3 separate regions of the Mus musculus genome follow, and regions 1 and 3 are each reported to be linked to region 2. The links are microRNA targets in miRTarBase. Many come from high-throughput screens and were not tested one by one. Region 2 holds a microRNA gene; each other region holds the end of a gene's coding sequence.

Evidence for each region. Region 2 holds the annotated microRNA mmu-miR-486a-5p (UCCUGUACUGAGCUGCCCCGAG, at 4,556-4,577, opposite strand). A microRNA usually pairs through its seed, bases 2 to 8, with sites in the 3' UTR of a target mRNA and lowers its output. Matches are read on the target gene's strand: a 7mer-m8 pairs with bases 2 to 8, a 7mer-A1 pairs with bases 2 to 7 and ends in A, and an 8mer does both.
Region 1: the mRNA of Tns3 is a reported target of mmu-miR-486a-5p. Seed matches in the 3' UTR shown: 7mer-m8 at 4,102-4,108.
Region 3: the mRNA of Pten is a reported target of mmu-miR-486a-5p. Seed matches in the 3' UTR shown: 8mer at 1,703-1,710 and 8mer at 4,158-4,165.

Annotation. Positions count from the first base shown.
Region 1 is chr11:8,428,740-8,435,905 of GRCm38, forward strand. Tns3 (tensin 3) reads right to left here. Exons shown (of 31, transcript NM_001083587.1): 29 at 7,107-7,166; 30 at 6,977-7,003; 31 at 2,913-5,899. The coding sequence ends at 5,755. Among named protein-coding and RNA genes, the nearest start is that of Tns3, 230 kb to the right of the region's middle.
Region 2 is chr8:23,140,164-23,147,163 of GRCm38, reverse strand. It overlaps Mir486 (microRNA 486), which reads right to left and starts at 4,609; the gene lies at 4,482-4,609. It overlaps Ank1 (ankyrin 1, erythroid), which reads right to left. Exons shown (of 44, transcript NM_001110783.3): 41 at 6,936-7,000; 42 at 5,935-6,000; 43 at 5,444-5,568. The coding sequence ends at 5,470. It overlaps Gm15816 (predicted gene 15816), which reads left to right. Exons shown (of 6, transcript NR_169137.1): 3 at 3,960-4,040; 4 at 5,899-6,339; 5 at 6,921-7,000. It overlaps Mir3107 (microRNA 3107), which reads left to right and starts at 4,502; the gene lies at 4,502-4,591.
Region 3 is chr19:32,819,050-32,826,215 of GRCm38, forward strand. Pten (phosphatase and tensin homolog) reads left to right here. Exons shown (of 9, transcript NM_008960.2): 9 at 794-7,111. The coding sequence ends at 979. Among named protein-coding and RNA genes, the nearest start is that of Pten, 65 kb to the left of the region's middle.

The sequences.
Region 1 (7,166 bases), not on the chromosome of region 2:
ACCTGTTGGCCAATGTGTCCATTTATGACCAATGTCTGTGGCATAAAACATTCTTTCAGATAATTTCGCAGGCCCCACATTCACTCAGACAACTCTAGGTCATCGTCTGAAAGATTCGATGAGACCCTTGAGGCCCTGAGAGCAGCTGTTCTCAGGATCAACTCGACACGAGTGGACCTGTCACTGACAGAGGGCCTCTCCTCCTGGATTTCATCTGCATTTTCTTATTTTAAGGAATGGGTGGGGGTAGGTTTATTTGGTGTTGCCACCTGCTGTGGACTTGTGTTTATGCTCTGGTTGGTTTGTAAGCTCAGAACCCAACAAAACCGTGACAAGATCGTTATCACTCTTGCACTTGTGCATAAGGCTTGCTTACTAGTTAGGCACAGTGGAAGCCAGCGCCATCTTATAATGGCGATTGCTCATGGCACGCACGAGATTGCTCGAGGCACGGCTCTCCACACTGCCCAAGAATCCTCCATTCGATCTCCAAGAGATTTTCCAAGGCAGTGAGATCTTCCTGTGACCCCGAGTCTCTGGGATGAAACACAGAGGCTATGACCTGTGTCCTCAGCATGGAGTGTCTGAATGTCTACTGCACACTGGACTGAGGATCCAGAAGGTGGGTACAGGCATCCAGCCCAAGAAGTGCTGAGGGATGAACGGCAGCGTCCTCCTGTCTACTGAGCCCTCGCCTCAGTCATTAGATCTTCTGTGTGGGCTTAGAAACATGTGTGTTGGTTCTACAAGGCCAGCTGTTGTCACCAACCCAAGGGTGCCTAGACATCACATTCCATAAATGACCTTTACATCTGTGCTGCTCATGCTCACACCCTGTTGGGATCCTGTTAAAGGACAGGCAGTGACTGGCTCGGGGATCCACAGGTAGCTTCCAGTTGAGATTGAACCAGCAATTGTCTGCTCTCGGCTCTGAAATAAAACACTTGCATCGATGTCAAACCCACCTTCCTGCAGTACGTGGGAAGTTGGTATGAGATCAATGTCATTAGAAGCCTCAGAGGCCAACAACACAGGAGATGGGGGCCACAGAACTGCTGCTAGCTGTGTTTATTATATGTCCATAATCAGGCTGGGCCTGATATAGCCTATCCTTTTGGGTTTAGACCCTGTAGGTTAGCAGATGGACCTTGGTCCTGACCCCGACTCACATAGATGGGGTCAGCTCAAGGGAGCAAAAAGCCAGCAGATCCTCAAAGGGAGGTGGAGGAAAGCTAAGGTGAGGGCTATGTAATACTGGGTACACATAGTACTGGGTACGTAGTACTGGGCGTTCTGGTTGCTCCAGGCTTAGAATGTTCAGACTGCAGGTAGACAGAGATGGCAAGAGTCCTTTCATGGTGCTAGAATGGAGCGGAGGTAAGAACGCAGTACATCAAAACTACCCCAGGGCAGTCACCATCCCCGCACTCAGATATTAGTTTTTAAATGTTATTATTTTTTGTAAGATTTTATTTATGTATGTGAGTACACTGTTGCTGTCCTTAGACACATCAGAAGAGGGCAACAGATCCCATTACAGATGGTTGTGAGCCACCATGTGGTTGCTGGGAATTGAACGCAGGACCTCTGGAAGAACAGTCAGTGTTCCTAACCGCTGAGCCGTCTCTCCAGCCCTGGATACACTTTGGGAAGCCTGTGTATGGAGGTCAGAGGAAACTTCAGGGTTTGGCTCTCCTGCGGACCGCAGGGTCCACGAACTGAACCCAGGCCTTGTGCGGCAAAGGTTTTTCCCTAAGCTACCTTGCCAGGGCACTGCTGTTACATTTTTCAAAATTAGCTGTGATTTGAGAGTGCCCCACTTTGTAACTCAGGCTAGCCTGGCATTCATTATGCAAGTCCACACCTGCCTTAAACTAACGGCAAATTCCTGTATTAGCCTCTGGGTTCCCAAGATTATAGTTTCACTTTTTGTTATTATTTTTATTTTATGTACATTGGTGGTTTGCCTACATGTATGTCTGCGTAAGGATATCCAATCCCCTAAAACTGGAATTACAGACAACTGTGAGCTGCCAATGTGGGTGCTGGGAATTGAACTCAGGTCCTTTGGAAAAGCAGCCAGTGTGTATAACCACTGAGCCATCTTTCCAGCCCTACTGTTTTTTTGTTTTTTGTTTTGTTTTGTTTGTTTGTTTGTTTGTTTTGGGGGGGTGTCTTGCTGTGCACCACTGGCTGATCTGGAGAATGCATCAATCGTTCTTCCTCTGTCTCCCAAGTGCTGGTATTGCAAGTGTGTGCCCCCATACCTGGCTTGGCGATTTAAAGATAATTTGAATATAATTTTTTCAAGGTCTTTGATAGCCAACCTACAGTATGTTCCCAAAAGCAAAACATGTAAATAGGCAGTTATGAACACCGTGACCCATAAAACAGACATCAGAAAAAACAAAAACCCAAACTCAAACCCTGGCAGTCAGACACAGCAGTACACAGGTGCACACACACACACACACACACACACACACACACACACACACACACACACACGTACAATGCACATACAGTCTGGGGTACAAAAGTGACTGTTCAGAGCAAGATGAATGGATCAGTAAGGGGGGGAGAATACGTGTCACATAAGCTTGACCACGTGACTTCAAATACCCAGAATCCACGTAAAGCTGGTGTGGTGTTGTTTGTCCATAACCGCAGTGTTCCCTCAAATGTGAGGTGGAGGGGACAGAAACCCAAGAAGTCTCTGGAACAACTAGCCTGGCATATGTGTGAGACAGTAAGAGACTATTTCAAACAAGGTGAGAGTTAAGGACCAACAACCAAGGTTGTCATCTAATCTTTACGCATGGCAGGCACATGTGCTCGCATACTCACAAACACAGGAGCAAAGGTATGGGCACACACACACACGTACAACAAAGACTTAAAAAAATGCTTCATTAGACTTACCAAGGTCATAATTTTTATTATACTCTGAATAAGGCTGATATTTAAAGAGCAGAGGAAATGCCTATACAAAAGGTTTATAGAACACTCATTTACATACTGGATATATATTCTTTACAATATAGAATAGTGAAAACTGCGCTAATAGATAAGACAGATATGGCGGCATTACAATGTCTTTGACACTGAAGATAAATGCAGTGTGGCTTTTAACATGGATACAGCCCAACACTGGAAACTATAAGACCGTTAATGAGAAGGTTAATGGGACCCTGGCTATCTATTGGAAGTGGTGGGACATCATTGAATTTACTCATAGAATAATGTACTAACTTGTGCCCAACCGATGGCCTTGTAGCAAAAGCCTGGGCAATACTCCTTTCGCAGTGTTTCTGAGCACACGGTATAGTCTATGATACTGTTCTTGTTCTGTTCAATACACGCGTCACACACAGAAGACAGAGCCTTGCCCTACCAGCTGTTGTAGACAGTTGTAGAGCTGTCTTCCTGTGTTTCCTCAGATCAGATCCATTGATACCCTTGACTACTTTTATCTTGAGTAAAAATCATACCTCACCGGTCAGTTTTGAAAGCACATTCGTGTGGCTTCTTGGATGCATTCCATGCCAACCTTTGTGGCATTCAATTCACCGGAAAGCTGGGCTTCAGCAGAGCCCAGCTGATTTCTAATTAGGCCCTCTCCCCCCACCCCCACCCCCCTCCAGCGGGAGGAAAAGAGTGCGGGGCTGTGATCTCTGGGCCACATCTGCATATAAACTTATAATCATAGGATGTGATACTTCTTAGAGCACAAACTTCAGCCCCACCCCTGCCCCCATCTGGAGTTTAGCTGCATATGAGTAACTGGAACACTAGAAGCCTCTGTGGAAGACATGGGGCCTCTAGGGAATGGTGGCACATTCCCTCTAACAGGCACATCAGAGTGTCCACGAAGGAGGTCCTTAAAGACCAAGGCAAACATTTGGCACAGAAATGAGGCACTTGCTTTTGGTGCATCAATAGGAGCTAAAAAGTGGAATAGTCCACCTGTATACACACAGACATACATGAGCAAAAAGTGGAATGGTCCACCTGTATACACACAGACATACATGAGCAAAAAGTGGAATGGTCCACCTGTATACACACAGACATACACATGAGCAAAAATGGAATAGTCCACCTGTACACACACACACACACACACACACACACACACACACACACACTCATCCTGACAGTTGATCCCAATTCTACACATAGTTACATCTCTGCCCCTTTTGAAACAGAATTCACCACAAAAATCCCAGCTTAACAACTGTAGCCTGTCCTGGACGTGAAATGTGGAAGCTAGGTCTGGATTTTAGAAGGCAAAGAGTGGGAATTTCAGGCCAGGCCAGGAATTCTCAGAGCCTTCCTGGGGTAGAAGGTTCTGACTGAGGAGACCCTGGCTTTGTCTCCACGGAGCCGGAGCCCTCCTCCACCTCCACCCTGGGAAGGACGGGCTTACCGCATTCTTCCGAATCTCTGGGCACAGGAAGCCTGCAGCAGGGGGATGCCCATCTTAGCAAGAACCATCACACCTGACTCAGTAACTAAGATGACTCAGCAAATCAAACGTAGCCGTGAGTGCTGGAGTTCTTGATCTTTCCCTTCATCCCTTCTCCCCCTCTGGACCCCACAGAAGTTCCCCTCGGAAGCTGCAGGTACCACAGGAGCATCACGGTAAAAGGCCACGTGTGCTTTAGATGACGCAGACCTCTACATGGCCCAGCCAGTCCTGCAGAAGAGGCTGAGACTGACGTCAGTGTCTTAGTCTTCCACGTCTCCCAGACGTTTCCATCAGGAACAAAACCATCTGCATCTGGACAAGACATGTTGCTGCGCCAGGCAGAGGGTAGGGAGGCTGCTTAAGGCAAATCCATTTGGCAGTACTACAGGAGAAGGATCTCGTGGCATCACCCTGAGACCACTGTTCCCCTTCCAGCTGACGGGCCAGCTGTCTCTGGTGTGTCTACAAGGGGACAAGCCTCCTAGTAATCACAGCTTAGTCGGCTGCAGCATTTGACATGGGTACGGTATGGCAATGGCAAGCGGTTATAAATAATTTGGCATAAGTAAAATATATATTATATAAAATGGCATTTTTGATTCCATCTTCTCATTTTCCTCTCCAGGTCCTCTAGGCTCTCCACAGCCCAGGTGACAACCTGAGAGCAGAATCACAGAGTCCTTACCCCCCAGCAGTGGCTCTCAGACCCCACGTGGTCCTCCCTGACCCCAGAGGCTTTCTCCACTGCCCTCACCTCACATCCCTTCCGCTGCCCCTGACTTAGGTCCCCGCCATGTTCCAACCTGCTCAGACCTTCACTGACCATGCATCTCCTCCTCAGTTCCATCACTGATGTAGAAAGACAAGATGAGGGAGCATTTCTGCTGACAAGTGGGTGCCATGGCTACTCAGTCCCTGTCAAGCAGGACAGATGCTCTTCCTCCACACAGATGCTAATGAGCCAGGGACTGGGGACAGCCTTGTCTTCCATGCTCCCTCCTTGTACAGCCCTTGTCCTTGGGGCCCTGATGAGGCATTTCCCGGGCCAAGATCCATCCACTCAAAATGCGCCTGACTATATAGGTGTGTCGGAAGAGCAGCTTCTTTAAGGCCAGTCAGTGGTGACATTGTTTGTTCTTGGTTTGAAGAGTTGTCATATTCTTCTCCTCTTGTTGAGTCTGGAATGTGAAGATTGTCAATCTGGTACGAATGGGGGCCCTGCCTCACCCCACTGCCATGTTGAGGGCCCTATGAGGCATCTGGCAGGTTTGGCTAGGAAGGGCTCAGATCTTCTTAGGGGAGCCAATCATGACCTTTGACACAAAGTTGACAATGGCACTGGCAGGTTGCTCGGGGTCATGCTCTGCAAACAGGTGGCATACGTTGTCTGTAGCACTGCCCTGTTTCCGGGCCACAAATCCAAAGACTCTGCAAGAGACAAGTCTAGTCAGAGGAGCCAGTACCGTGTGCAGCAAGCACCATGCATGCATGCAGGCTTTCTCTTCCTCATGATAGCAACCTGGGAACAGTACAGACTGCCCCTGCAGGTTACGATGTGCCAAGCACTAGCTTAGAGACCTGTCTACTACCTGACCACTGAGCCTAGAAGGATGCTTGAATCAAAACTGAGGCTCTGCTTGCTCCTTAGCACCTCTGCTGGAGGTCTAGGGGTCCTCCAGACACCTTCTATGGAGTCCTGAGCTCCAGCTGGCTATGTAAAATCAGGGTCTCCCATGGAAGGTCAGGACTTTAGGCCTCCAGGAAAACCCTAGAAGCTCCCAGCCCAGTCCAGACTAGATACCCCAAACAAGAAAGCTAACATGCCAAGAACTCATCTCAGGCCTGTGCAACTGTGATCGCTTCCGAAGTTGTGGCTGTCTACTACTACTACTGACCTGTTCTCCAGAGCAGGAGAAACTCTGAAATGGGCCTGCCGGGAAGGAGGCACCTGATGAACATGTGCGATCAGCAGTGTGGACCATGTAAAAGGAGCTAGTCTGACAGCCACAGACAGTGAAGCCTCTGTGCGTGGGGAGGGCGAGGATCAGGCTCCTCTGACCACCTTGATAGCAGTGCAAAGCAGAGGGAACAAGAACTCGCTGGCCAAAGGAACAAAGCAGGCTCCCTCCAGATTGGGAAATGTTGCCAAAGGGCTTCACCTCTGCCCACACAAGCAGATCTGGGGTTTTCAGCAGTACCAGCACCTTCTTAAATGGCTGGACTAAGAAATCTGTCTCAGTGTGTAAAGAACACTACAGATACAATATAGACAGGGCTCCTCCAGCCCACGACAATGGACAAGCCAACACCGTCTAGGTGTGGGCTCTGATATCAGAACACTTCTTACTCTCTAATTTTCTACTTTCAGTTAAGTCAAACAAATGATCCCACCGACAATGACTGCTTTGCTTTGTCTGATCTTTTAAATAAGTCCTTCTTTGCAAATCTAGAAGTGAGGTCAGCTGTGCACTGTGATTTTCAAATAGAGAAAGGCTGGCAACTTACTTAGAAGAAGGGCCATCTTTGATCCACCTTGAGAATTGAAGGGGAGAAGAATTTTACGTTAGCTTTTTTTTTTTTAAATTAAAGGATAAAAGAGGTATACTTTTCAGTTATAAGAATGCAAAACTCTTACTTCCTGTCTTGTGGATCCAAAGCACAGAAAATCACACTGCTGACCGGGTAATGCCTCCGG
Region 2 (7,000 bases):
GATTGGCTCTGACTTCATGGCAATCCTCCAGTCTCAGCATCCTGAGTGATGGGGTGACAGATGTGATCTACCATGCCTGGCTGGGAAGGCCACTGAGATGAAGAGAGTTGACGGTGCTCTGGGAAGAGGCGTAAAGGTTGGAAGTCATTCTGAGGCAGAGCTGTTCCCAGGCATAGAGCTGTCCCAAGCTCTACAGGTGACAGAGCCGTGGGTATATTGAGCACAACCAACATGACTCATCTCCATGGTTCCCTCGGGGGTATGTGGGGGACAATGCCAAATGTTTTGCCTGCAGCTGTGAAGATTAAAAGTCAGGCATTCTTGCTGGGCAGAAGAGAGCTGCCATTTGAGAGATGAGATTCTGCCCTTCCTAGGCTACCTTCTCCTCTAGTCCTATTGCTAGGCTGTGTGCTCATATGCCCCCTCCCCAACGCTGCCATCTTCTCTCCTCAACTTCTGTTCCTGCCTCAGACTTGCCCTTCACTTCAGGCTGTCCTTTCCCACGACTACCCATTGGCTAAGAGACACATAAGGGGCAGAGGGGTCAAGAGCAGGAATTCTGAAGCTAGACTGTTCAGGTTCGAACCCTGCTTCTGTCTTTACTGGCTGCCTAGCTTTGGTCAAACGTACTCGGCTGCTCTTCAGCTCTGTTTGCCCTGCTTGTGAGATGGGGCCGCAGTAGGACCCATCACTGTGATGTGTGCATGTGCTGAGACGGGTCCGTGGAGGACGGAGGGGTCAGGGAGCATCCAGGGAGCATGCTGGACTTAACTTGTGAGTATCTGGCTCTTGGAAAGTGCTGCACCTAACTTGTTGTTTATTTATTTTTCTAACCAGCTTCGCAGTTGCTCTGGCTGGATTATGAGCACTGGAGGGTGGGGGCCCCTTCTCCAAATTCCCTACAGTGCCTACCCCAGAATTAAGCATTCCTCAGAGAGACAACATGAAAGCCGAGATTCTAGATACACAGGCTGAGTTCCCACCTGCTTACGGCCAGGTCCTTGAGAGGGCTCAAGCTTCAGAGATCACTCCGGAGTAAGCACCCCCTCCCCCCCTTTTTAGAGGTGAGTGGTAGGCTAAGACCTAAGTGGAACAGACACAGGTCCAGCTGGAGCAGCTGGTGGCGCAGGGGTGGAGTAACACGAGCCTTCAGGCTACAGCCAGGATTTCTCCATGCCATCAGTGCCACCGGGCCTCCTCCCTAAGCCACTCTCTGAAAAAGGCCAGTCCTCTCAAAGCTTAGGAGATGACACCCCAAAGTGCTCAGAGCCCCTTCGCCTTCGCAGCCAGGATCCTCGTTTTCTCCCCATGCTCGGGCACCTGCCCCCACATCTATGCCCGTGGCTCTCACCAGTGACCCTTCGCTTCCTACTCTGATGTCCTCCTTCAAGTGGCTGCATAGGATAACTGATTCTAGCTTAAAACAAAGCGAAACAAAACATGCCTTCCTACTTCCTCCCACTGAAACGCTAGATTTTTCAGAACAGTCTATCGTCAGAACTAATGGAAGTCTCTGAAGCACACTGTTTGTGTGGAAAGTGTTCTCTAAAAGGAAAACAGACTTTCAACATGCATATAATCACAGGGCTCCTCCTTCCTCAGCTCCTGGGAGAGTCCTGGAGGGAACAGCCATGCACACACAGAGGGTATCAAGAACTAGTACCCTTCCCAGCCAGACTCCTGGTACCCCCAGGGCTGCACCATAGCCGATGCTCCAGTGCCCTTAGCTGCTCGCTGCATCCAGTTTTCCCAGCAGTCCTGGTACCTTAACACTCAGGCACAGTACAAGACCCGCCAGTGCCAATGAGCCTTGACCTCTCAGACAGAAAACAGCAATTTTCTGGCTTCTTCACTCTAGGACTTTCCAGTGCAAGGGGAGACTGGCAGGATCAGAACAAAGCTCAGCAATGCCTTGCTCACCAGAGTGTAGAGTCCTCTAAACAAATGCTCCTCATCCTCCACTTTAGCCTGCTTTTAGATATGATTCTTGTACTATGCCAGACGACGTGAGAGGAGTTTGAGGAGAAGGGTCAAAATCCGGCATAACAACTCGACTTTCACCATGCATCTAATCCCAGGGACGGCATAGTGACGGATACTGACATCCTGGGTTTTAACTGAGCAGAACTGCAGCCGAGAACAGCAGCTCAGTCTCTCGCAGGCCTGCAAGCTTCTATGCCCCGGCCCCGGGGGTCTGTATCTTCTTAGCAGGATATGGACTACGCCCTGAGAAAGAGCACTGTCGACCCTCGCACTCTGTAAAGCCCTTCCTCAAAAATAAGAGCATCTGCTACCGTACAGCAGTTCCACAAGGAACGTGCTGGCATTATTGCGACGCGTGGGTGGAAACGCTGAGGCGTAGGAAAGTCAATTGACTTGCCCTGAGTCACACTACAAACAACACCTGTCACTGATGGGACGCCAGAGTGTATACACCTTTACTCCTCACGACACGACACCTCTCATAGTTTCTATTTGCGCCCCCACTCCCCTGCCACACCCACGCTGGGGCTGGAACCTGGGGTTTCAGGCAGGCTGAGCATGCACTCTGCCGCTGGGCCACACCCTGTTCTGCACGCATTTTTTAAATTGATAAGTAACACATATCCAGGAGAGACTATCTCCATCTTTCCTTGAGGCGTACAAAGCTGGGGATAGTTGAGTGACTTAAGGTCATACCATTTGGGACCAGAATGGGGGAGCCAAGTCTTGAATCTGGACTCCAAGGCTAGTTTTTACACTTGGAACATATAAGATGCTTTTCATTATTCACAGTAGTCCTGGTCTATAAAGTATGAGCGTGGGATTAGCGAATACTGAATCACCGCTCCCAAGGGACATGCAAGGTCATGCTTTCCTCAGCCAGCGACTCCATCAGCATGCTGCGTGTGTATTTCTTTTTGAGGGTGGCACATCGCATGTATGCAGGCCATTCACTCGTGCTCACCCCATTGCCATCAACACAGTGCCTCAGGAAGACTTAGAACTCATCTTCCCCGGACAGACAGAACGTCCACACAAACAGTGAAACAAACGATGAAGAACTTGGAAATGCACTGTGTCGTTAAATAGATTAAAAATAAAGGGCAGCATGAGACCCAGGAAAAGGTGGAGCTGGGGACGGCACATGCCCATCACTTTGTGGTCACCTTTGTCTGTGTGTCTGGGAATGACTGAGCACGGAAGGACTGGGTGCTCATTTTTGGATTTCAAGAAAGGTTTAGGGCGTAGGCAAATCGGAAGAGGAATGACAAGGATCGGCTGGACTGCCTGTGGGGCGGGGGTTGGGGGCAGTGGTGGTGGGGACGGAGCCTGAAGCCCTTTGGTAACTTCTTACTGAGGATGGGCCACTCTTGCTGCTCCACAACCTGGTCAGACCTGGGCAGGAGCCTGCCACTGCACGCTCTTCTGCCCAGTCACTACCCCAGTCACCCACCCTCTGTCTTTTGTTGGCAGAGGCTAAGTACTGTCCAAACCAGGCTGCTCAGAATTCCTGACTCCTAAACTCATGAGGTCTGGTGGCAAATATCCCCCTCCTTCCCTTTCTCCCTTTCTCTCTCTCTGTAGTGTGTATGTGAGAGAGTGTATGTGTGTGTGTATGTAAGTGTGTTGTGCCTGTGTGTGTATGTGTGTGTGTATGTGTGTTGTGTTATGTATTTAGTATGTGTGTTGTGTTGTGTGTGTGTAGTGTGTGTATATGTAGTGTGTGTGTGGTGTGTGTGTGTGTGTGTGTGTGTAAGTGTGTTGTGCCTGTGTGTGTGTATGTGTGTTGTGTTGTGTATTTAGTATGTGTATGTGTGTGTGTTGTGTTGTGTGTGTGTAGTGTGTGTATATGTAGTGTGTTGTGTGTGTGTGTGTGTGTATGTGTGTAGTGTGTGTGTGTGTGGGGGGGTGTTGGGGCAGGGGCATGCCGGGTACAGTAAATTAATGAAACACTCTACTTCTGCCCTGTCCTTCAGCTGCCTTGCCGTTGCTGCCTCCCATTGAGGCCCTGGATAAAGTCTCAGCCAACAAACACAAGTGCAAGTCCGGCTGCCACTGTAAGAAAGATAGGGCTGAAGAAGACATTCTCCCTCCCTCCCTCCTTTAAAAATGACTCGAACCTTTGGGTTGTTTCCCAGCCGGGATCAAGAGCGAGTCTTGGCCTTTAAATCAGCAGACATGCAGGACCCTCCTGGCAGTGCTGGGGTTAACACTGTGACCTCCTTACAGCTGCTGAGGAGTCAGGGCTAATTTTACTCTCCTATCGGGCTCTGCCCAGCCTCATATTGTCCAAGTGCTGAGATATGTTGGGAAGCATCAAGTCAGCACTTCTGCCGGCCCAGGAGGCTGCGCGGGCCCTGCTTTTTGCAGAAGGCAGAAAACCAGTGACTGCCTGCTGCTCGGCTCTGGAGCTGGGCCCTGAGAGTTCAGGGGTGGGGGTGGGTGGGGGAAGGGGCAATAACCCAGTTAGTGCTGTGCATGGGCAGAGGCTGTGATGCTGGCTTGTTCCCCGTTGTCTCCCACCCTGACGCATCCTGTACTGAGCTGCCCCGAGCTGAGCACAGTGAAGGACCTCGGGGCAGCTCAGTACAGGACCCCTCAGGGAGGGCGAGATCAGAGCTGGCTGCTGAGGCTGGCTCTTGGGCACTGCAGCCTGCTGAAGATCTTCGTTGCGTAGCCTGGCCCACCCATCCTTGGCCCCCGCCCTGACGCACACCCCTCACACACTAGTACAGCCGTTAGCCATGAAGACCTTCCTCACTTCCAGGGAAGATTCTACCTATGCCTTGGGTCTGCTAACTTAGTTCCTTCTCAGACATCAAGCGAGCAGCCTTGTTCTCAGAACAGTAATCGAATTAAAGCTATGGCAGGTTAGGACTCCAGTGAGCCTTAAGGTTTATGTCTGGCGTGCTTTCTGACCATGTGTAGTGAGATAGGCTCAGACTGTGTTTTGAGCACTACTTCAAAGCACTATTTTAACATTATACTGGTACAGTCAGGCATGGTGCTGCATGCCTTTAATTCCAGTACAGAGGCAGCTGGATCTCTGTGGGTTCAAGGCCAGCCTGGTCTATTTAGCAAGTTCCAGGACAGCCAGGGCTATATAGAGAGACTCTGTTTATAACTAAATTGCACAGGGACTGAAGGTGTGGCTCAGAATGCCTATCTCTGGTCCCACCCCCCTAACACAGCCAAAAAAGACAAAAGAAAATATAAATAAGCAAAATAAACCCAAGCCCCTGATTTTGTGTACTCTCCAGCAGACTGGTGTCAACAGAGAGGCACAGGTCTGAAGAGGACGTGGAGGGGCAGAGACAGTGGCTAGTTTGAGGAGTGGGATTCTGAGAGTCTGGTTTTAACTCTGAACTGAGCTAGTAGTGCAAGGATGGGGTGGGTTGGGAGCAGCAAGCAGCTACCTCATCAAGGACCATGCCAGCAAGGACGAGAAAGCCACTGTTACCTCCCAAGGGGCTACTTGAGGAGAGGTCACTGCTTGCCCCTTTTCAGGCTGGCCCGCTTCACTATCTGAGCCCCCTTCCTGCCCTCTATCAGGTCCGGCTGGAGTCCACTCCCTCTTAGCTCCACCTGGAGACAGCATCAGAGACAGAAAGTAGGAAATCACACAGGCAGATGAGCAAGCTCGGGCAGGAAGTGAGAAGGGTCAGGACAGAGAGGAGTAGGAGGAGGAGGAGGAGGAGGAGGAGGAGGAGGAGGAGGAGGAGGAGGAGGAGGAGGAGGAGGAGGAGAAGGAGGAGGTGGGAACACCATCTGTCCGCCAGAAAGGTAGCCAGGGGCAGCATTGCAACCTGGAGCAAAGTAGAGGTGAGGCGGAGGTGAACTTGCTGCGGCCTCCAGGGGCCTGCAGTGCCTTGGTACCTTAGTAAGTTTCATAAAGGACTCAATATCTGCTTCCAGATCCCCAGGGTCTGCCAGGGGACCCTCGACAATCACCTCCTCGTGCTGCTGGGTGTCGATGGCACCAGACGAGTCTACCTGCCGGACGACTTTGCGAATGATCTGGAAAGAGAGGGGAAGAGAAGGAGAGATGGTCAAGTCGTCAGGACAACATTTGAGAAGAACAGGGCTCCAGCAGAGGCACCAGGAGGAGAGGCCATGGCTTCCTGTCCCCCGGAGCCAAGAAGAAGCCTTTCTCTGCTGTCATCTATGGGGAATGTCGGTGGGGCTTGGACTGGGGAGCACGGCTGGCAGGGCTTCGGCAAACATTGGCTTGGGCACGCGCAGCGCTGCCTCAGCCCTCCGCCATCCCACTCTGTTCCTTGGAATGGATGGAAGTTCGGTCTGACTATCGTGCCTCTACAGTGCCTAAGGACAGAGGCAGGCAACCCTTCTATCCATGTGCGTCTGCTCTACTCACCTTCTCTGTGTCCATTTATCCAGAATGGGAGGTGAACATAAACCATGGCTTAGGCCTTTAGGGAGGGGCAAGGACAGACAGGGGCCATCATTCCTTATGTGAACAGTGGTCCTAGTGAGTGGCACAGGCGCGCACGCGCCATGTCCTGCTCTCTCCCATTGCCTCATGGGGCAATGTCCGCCAAGCAGCACAAGCTTATCATGTGGAGGTCTGCTGCCAGTTTGATGAGTTCTTACAGCCCTTCTAAGGGAGCCCCCAAGAACAGGTCCCTGTTTTCTAACAGCTCCTTCTATGGCCAGGCTTCACAGGACTAGGGCTGTGTGTTTCATGGGAGCTGGAAATGGGCAGCTGGACCTCTTCATGTTGAGTTAAGCTTTAAGGTGACAAGGCCCTCAGATTGTAGAGGACCCAGAGGTCTCAGCTCTCCTGAGTTACCCCGAAAGCTCTGAGGTGGGGGGGAGGAACAGCCTGCCCACCCTGTTTGGGCAGCAGTAAGAAGCTGCTCTAAGCTGAACCCCTCCACTTTTCTTCTTTAGTCTCACCCAGTTTCTCCTCAATGCAGAGGCTCTGCTCTTACCTTCTTGGTAACAATGTTGCCCTGTTCATCTGTGAATTGTTCCTCCGTCACCTGCTCTCCTGGAA
Region 3 (7,166 bases), not on the chromosome of region 2:
GAACACAGAGAAGGTATAATCTGAGCTTTTTAACCTTCCAGTTCACTTCCTAAATTGAGACTGGCTCAGAAACTAGGGAGAGGAGAGGCCGTGGGGCTGTAGTGGCAAGGAGCAGTGGTAAATTACTAACTTTGAAGGGGGATTTTTAAAGCAAATGTTGGTTATAAGAAAAACTTATAATGACTTGCATAATGGGAAAAGAGCAAAGATATGATTTAAACCTGGTCTCTGCCAATTGTTCACTAGAGATTGTCCTTTAGCATGTGGCCTAGACTTCAGGGTTTTTGTTTCTTACCTTTTAAAATGGAAATAACCTAAGAACTGCAGCCATGCATGTAAAGGCTACTGATCAATCCTCACAGCACAGAGTGCTCTGTTAGCTTGCACCATTCTCTCGTCAGATGACTGTTGTAGAGCTAGTTGACCTTATTAATCAGTATTGTGTAGTGTCACTAATGTAAACATAGAGTTGTCTCAGAGATTGCAAGAGAAATGTTTTTGAAACATAAGCACTTGTAAATTGAATTTTGTGATTTAGTGAGTTCATTGCCTTCAGTTTGCACTTTTATAGAATTATACAGTGCTTATGGCTGATGTATTTTAAAAATAGCTTTCAACTCATCATTGTGTCTTTTGAGAGCACAGTAGTCAATCTTCAGGTCATCTGAAAAGCAGTGCCCTTCAGAATTCATTTTGTTATAGTACTTTCAAGTAAATCTGCAAAACAGAATGTCTTTGCTAATACAGAACTCATTCTAATTGTTCATTTTCATCTTAAACTTTCTTTCTCTAGGTGAAACTATACTTTACAAAAACAGTAGAGGAGCCATCAAATCCAGAGGCTAGCAGTTCAACTTCTGTGACTCCAGATGTTAGTGACAATGAACCTGATCATTATAGATATTCTGACACCACTGACTCTGATCCAGAGAATGAACCTTTTGATGAAGATCAGCATTCACAAATTACAAAAGTCTGATTTTTTTTTTCTTATCAAGAGGGATAAAATACCATGAAAAAAAAAAAACTTGAATAAACTGAAATGGACCTTTTTTTTTTTTTTTTTTTTTTAAATGGCAATAGGACATTGTGTCAGATTGCAGTTATAGGAACAATTCTCTTCTCCTGACCAATCTTGTTTTACCCTATACATCCACAGGGTTTTGACACTTGTTGTCCAGTTAAAAAAAGGTTGTGTAGCTGTGTCATGTATATACCTTTTTGTGTCAAAAGGACATTTAAAATTCAATTAGGATAAATAAAAGATGGCACTTTCCCATTTTATTCCAGTTTTATAAAAAGTGGAGACAGGCTGATGTGTATACGCAGGAGTTTTTCCTTTATTTTCTGTCACCAGCTGAAGTGGCTGAAGAGCTCTGATTCCCGGGTTCACGTCCTACCCCTTTGCACTTGTGGCAACAGATAAGTTTGCAGTTGGCTAAGGAAGTTTCTGCAGGGTTTTGTTAGATTCTAATGCATGCACTTGGGTTGGGAATGGAGGGAATGCTCAGAAAGGAATGTTTCTACCTGGGCTCTGGACCATACACCATCTCCAGCTCCTTAGATGCACCTTTCTTTAGCATGCTCCACTTACTAATCTGGACATCCGAGAGATTGGCTGCTGTCCTGCTGTTTGTTTGTGCATTTTAAAGAGCATATTGGTGCTAGACAAGGCAGCTAGAGTGAGTATATTTGTAGTGGGGTACAGGAATGAACCATCTACAGCATCTTAAGAATCCACAAAGGAAGGGATATAAAAAAAGTGGTCATAGATAGATAAAAGACACAGCAGCAATGACTTAACCATACAAATGTGGAGGCTTTCAACAAAGGATGGGCTGGAAACAGAAAATTTGACAATGATTTATTCAGTATGCTTTCTCAGTTGTAATGACTGCTCCATCTCCTATGTAATCAAGGCCAGTGCTAAGAGTCAGATGCTATTAGTCCCTACATCAGTCAACACCTTACCTTTATTTTTATTAATTTTCAATCATATACCTACTGTGGATGCTTCATGTGCTGGCTGCCAGTTTGTTTTTCTCCTTAAATATTTTATAATTCTTCACAGGAAATTTCAACTTGAGATTCAACAGTAAGCAGGTTTTGTTTTTTTTTTTTCCTAGAGATTGATGATGCGCGTCCTCAGTCCAGTGGCTGTCAGACGTTCAGCCCCTTTGACCTTACACATTCTATTACAATGAGTTTTGCAGTTTTGCACATTTTTTTTAAATGTCATTAACTGTTAGGGAATTTTACTTGAATACTGAATACATATAATGTGTATATTAAAAAAGTCATTGTTTGTGTTAAAAAAGAAATTAGAGTTGCAGTAAATTTACAGCACTGCACGAATAATAAGGCATTGAAGTTTTTCAGTAGAAATTGTCCTACAGATGCTTTATCGACTTGCTATTGGAAGAATAGATCTTCTTAAATGTGCAGTGTTGAGTCACTTCGTTATAGTGGTAGAGTTGGGATTAGGGCTTCAATTTTACTTCTTAAATATCATTCTATGTTTGATATGCCCAGACTGCATACAATTTAAAGCAAGAGTACAACTACTATCGTAATGGTAATGTGAAGATGCTATTACAAAGGATCTCCTCCCAACCCCTCGGGAATTTGGTGTCTTTCAAATTATATCTTGACCTTGACATTTGAATATCCAGCCATTATTAGATTTCTTAATGGTGTGAAGTCCCATTTTCAATAACTTATTGGTGCTGAAATTGTTCACTAGCTGTGGTCTGACCTAGTTAATTTACAAGTACAGATTGCATAGGACCCACTAGAGAAGCATTTATAGTTTGATGGTAAGTAGATTAGGCAGAACGCCATCTAAAATATTCTTAGAAAATAATGTTGATGTATTTTCCATACCTCATCAGTTTCACTCAACCAATAAAGTTTTTAAAATTGTAACAAAGCTCTTAGGATTTACACATTTATATTTAAACATTGATACATGAATATTGACTGACTGTTGATAAAGTCAGAGACAACTTTTCCTGAGATCTCACCATGGAAATCTGTACACCCCCTTGTCTTTCCTAAAAGCTGAAAGTGGCTGACTAAAATGCAAAGCAGCTGTTGATGTTTTGAAGATAGTGATAAACACTGTTCTTTGTTAGTTTTGGGCACAGCATGCTAAACTATAACTTGTATTGTTCCAATATGTAACACAGAGGGCCAGGTCATGAATAATGACATTACAATGGGCTGTTGCACTGTTAATATTTTTCCTTTGGAATGTGAAGGTCTGAATGAGGGTTTTGATTTTGAATGTTTCAGTGTTTTTGAGAAGCCTTGCTTACATTTTATGGTGTAGTCATTGGAAATGGAAAAATGGCATTATATATATATTATATATATATAAATATATATATTATACATACTCTCCTTACTTTATTTCAGTTACCATCCCCATAGAATTTGACAAGAATTGCTATGACTGAAAGGGTTTTGAGTCCTAATTCAAACTTTCTTTATGACAGTATTCACGATTAGCCTGAAGTGCATTCTGTAGGTGATCTCTCCCGTGTTTCTGGAATGCTTTCTTAGACTCTTGGATGTGCAGCAGCTTATGTGTCTGAAATGACTTGAAGGCATCACCTTTAAGAAGGCTTACAGTTGGGCCCCGTACATCCCAAGTCCTCTGTAATTCCTCTTGGACATTTTTGCCATAATTGTAAAAGGGTAGTTGAATTAAATAGCGTCACCATTCTTTGCTGTGGCACAGGTTATAAACTTAAGTGGAGTTTACCGGCAGCATCAAATGTTTCAGCTTTAAAAATAAAAGTAGGTTACAAGTTACATGTTTAGTTTTAGAAAATTTGTGCAATATGTTCATAACGATGGCTGTGGTTGCCACAAAGTGCCTCGTTTACCTTTAAATACTGTTAATGTGTCGTGCATGCAGACGGAAGGGGTGGATCTGTGCACTAAACGGGGGGCTTTTACTCTAGTATTCGGCAGAGTTGCCTTCTACCTGCCAGCTCAAAAGTTCGATCTGTTTTCATATAGAATATATATACTAAAACCATCCAGTCTGTAAAACAGCCTTACCCCGATTCAGCCTCTTCAGATACTCTTGTGCTGTGCAGCAGTGGCTCTGTGTGTAAATGCTATGCACTGAGGATACACAAATATGACGTGTACAGGATAATGCCTCATACCAATCAGATGTCCATTTGTTACTGTGTTTGTTAACAACCCTTTATCTCTTAGTGTTATAAACTCCACTTAAAACTGATTAAAGTCTCATTCTTGTCATTGTGTGGGTGTTTTATTAAATGAGAGTATTTATAATTCAAATTGCTTAAATCCATTAAAATGTTCAGTAATGGGCAGCCACATATGATTACAAAGTTCCTGTGCATTTTTCTATTTTTCCCCCTCCTTGCTATCCTTCCAAGCAAAGCATCTTTCTGTCATCTTGGTAGACACATACCTGTCTACTCATGGTTAAGAAGAGCACTTTAAGCCTTAGTCATCACTTAATAAGTTATTCCAGGCACAGTAAAAAGTTCAAGGTTCTTGGAAAACGGTGCTTATTTCTCTTCTTATAAGCCAGATGTCTGAAGATAGCCCTAACCCCAAGAACGGGCTTGATGTCTCAGGTCTGTTCTGTGGCTTTCTGTTTTTTTTAACACTGCAGTTGGCCATCAGCACATGGGAGGTTTCATCGGGACTTGTCCAGAGTAGTAGGCTCAAATATACTATCTCCTTTCTAATATTCTTAAAGGCTAAGGAGTCCTTTCAATATAACAGTAAGATAACTTGTGATGTTTTAGAAGTAAGCAGACCATTAATGTCAATGTGGAGTCTTAATGTTACATGAAGTTGATAGTTTCTCTGTGACCCATTTAAAAATACAAACCGAGTAGCATGCAATTATGTAAAGAAATATGAAGATTATATGTAGTCACACATTTTCTTTAGAATTCTTAGTTTGGTGAAAACTTGAATATAAAGGTATTTTGATTTATATGACATTTTGATGATATTTGAAAAAAAGGAATTTCCTGACATTTTGCTTTTAGATCATGTCCCCCATTGTGCTGTAATTTAAGCCAACTTGGTTCAGTGAATGCCATCACCATTTCCATTGAGAATTTAAAACTCACCAGTGTTTAACATGCAGGCTTCTGAGGGCTCCCGGAGAATCAGACCTTAAGCCCAGTTGATTTACTTCTAACGTGAAACTTCGAGTTCCTGTATACTTTGCTAGATAATTTGTGGTACATCTAAAGCTTAGTCTTAAGTGGCTTGTGTGTGGATTTTATTCAACATTCTTGTTGCTAGGGTAGAGAGAAATGTTGCTGAGTAGAAACAAGAGTACCCAGTTCAATGTGGTACAGAGAGCAGTCCCTAAAATCTGTACACAGTGTAATGGACCACTTTAGGAGTCAAGAGGCTGATTTTTCCTATGAAATTACATTGCAACAGGAAGCCTTCTAGTATAGTTCCTTTTACTGTTAGAATATGTTTTTATGCATACGCTATAGCTGCTTTCCCATCTTCCAACAACAGGTATCAGGATGTAAGCAAGCTTTAAACAGTGTGAAGATGGCAGGATAGTGTCATCGGTAACAGTCCTCTGACTCTAAATGTAGTTGCTCTGTAACACTTTGTGAATATAACATCACAATTCTCATGTCCTTGGGGGGGGGGGGCATACCCAGTATTAGTATGTTTTAGTGACTAAGCAATCATTTTTCTGTTTACTCATGTACATTTTCTCTTTAAAACTAAAACCTGTACTGTGTATGTCTCCAAAGCCTTTTAGCTTAGTTTTTAGGAAATGAACACTGAATGGATCACTTTTTAGTGTAGCAGGTATGGGATATGTGCATTATAGAGAGACCTTGTCAGCTCTCTGGGCCTATTTGAATGTTTATTGTTGGTGTGAGGATGGTAGGGGAATCAGTAAATACAAGTTACGTTGGTTTAGCAGAGCAAGCTCAGTGTGGGTATTTCTCTTTGAAGCGTGGTGCGTGACGCACTGTGAGTAGAGAATTTGGTCACCCTTTGAGTCCTCTTGCATTTTGCAAACTTGCTCAGCAAATGCGTACCTACCTTGCCCCCTAGGTAAAAGCAGGAACTACTACTGATTTATCTGTCACTCAGCTGTCTTTATATGTGTGCTTCTGTGACTTGTATCACACAAGAATCTTAAAGATTTCACAAATTGTTACCTTTTAGCTCTGAATGTTGAGTATTCTGGTGGGCTAACAACAAGACAAACTCTTGACAGTCATTTGAGAATTTTCATGAAACATTTAGCTGAAAACATTTTATAATTTATGAAAAAAATGTGTTACCTTAAACTTTTACATATGTGGGAGACATTAACTGCCATATTTGAGCATACTGAATTTTAAATTTAAAATAAAGCTGCATATTTTTAAATGAAATGTTTAACAAGGATTCATATTTTTTGTTTTTTAAGATTAAAAATAATTTATGTCTTCTCATGTGGAACCTCATCTGTCACAATGGTTAGATTATACAGAATGGAGCAAGGCTTGTAGTGGTTTAGCTTACAGTAAAATTCTTAATGTTTAGATGTGTTTACTTACTGGCTGTTATGTATACTTTTGAGATTTTCCACCTGTTCTGTGTAGTTTTCTAAATGATACTCCTACTTAAAAACAGCATTTTAGTATCTATTTTCTGTCTCCATTAAATGGTCCTCATTTTCTATTGAGTTTGGAAGTGTGCACATTGTGTGTGTGTGTGTGTGTGTGTGTGTGCACACGTGTGCGCGCCCGTGCGTGTGTCTATTTGTGGAGTTTGTATGGGAGAATTAGTTTTGAAAGTGCTAGAATAGAGATGAAATTTGGTTCAAGTAAAATTTTCCCACTGGGATTTTACAGTTTATTGTAATAAAATGTTAATTTTGGATGACCTTGAATATTAATGAATTTGTTAGCCTCTTGATGTGTGCATTAATGAGATATATCAAAGTTGTATATTAAACCAAAGTTGGAGTTGTGGAAGTGTTTTTATGAAGTTCCGTTTGGCTACCAATGGACATAAGACTAGAAATACCTTCCTGTGGAGAATATTTTTCCTTTAAACAATTAAAAAGGTTCATTATTTTTGATGATTTGCTTCTTAGCTTTTTATTCATCCGAGAATCAATCCCTGCTATGTGTAAC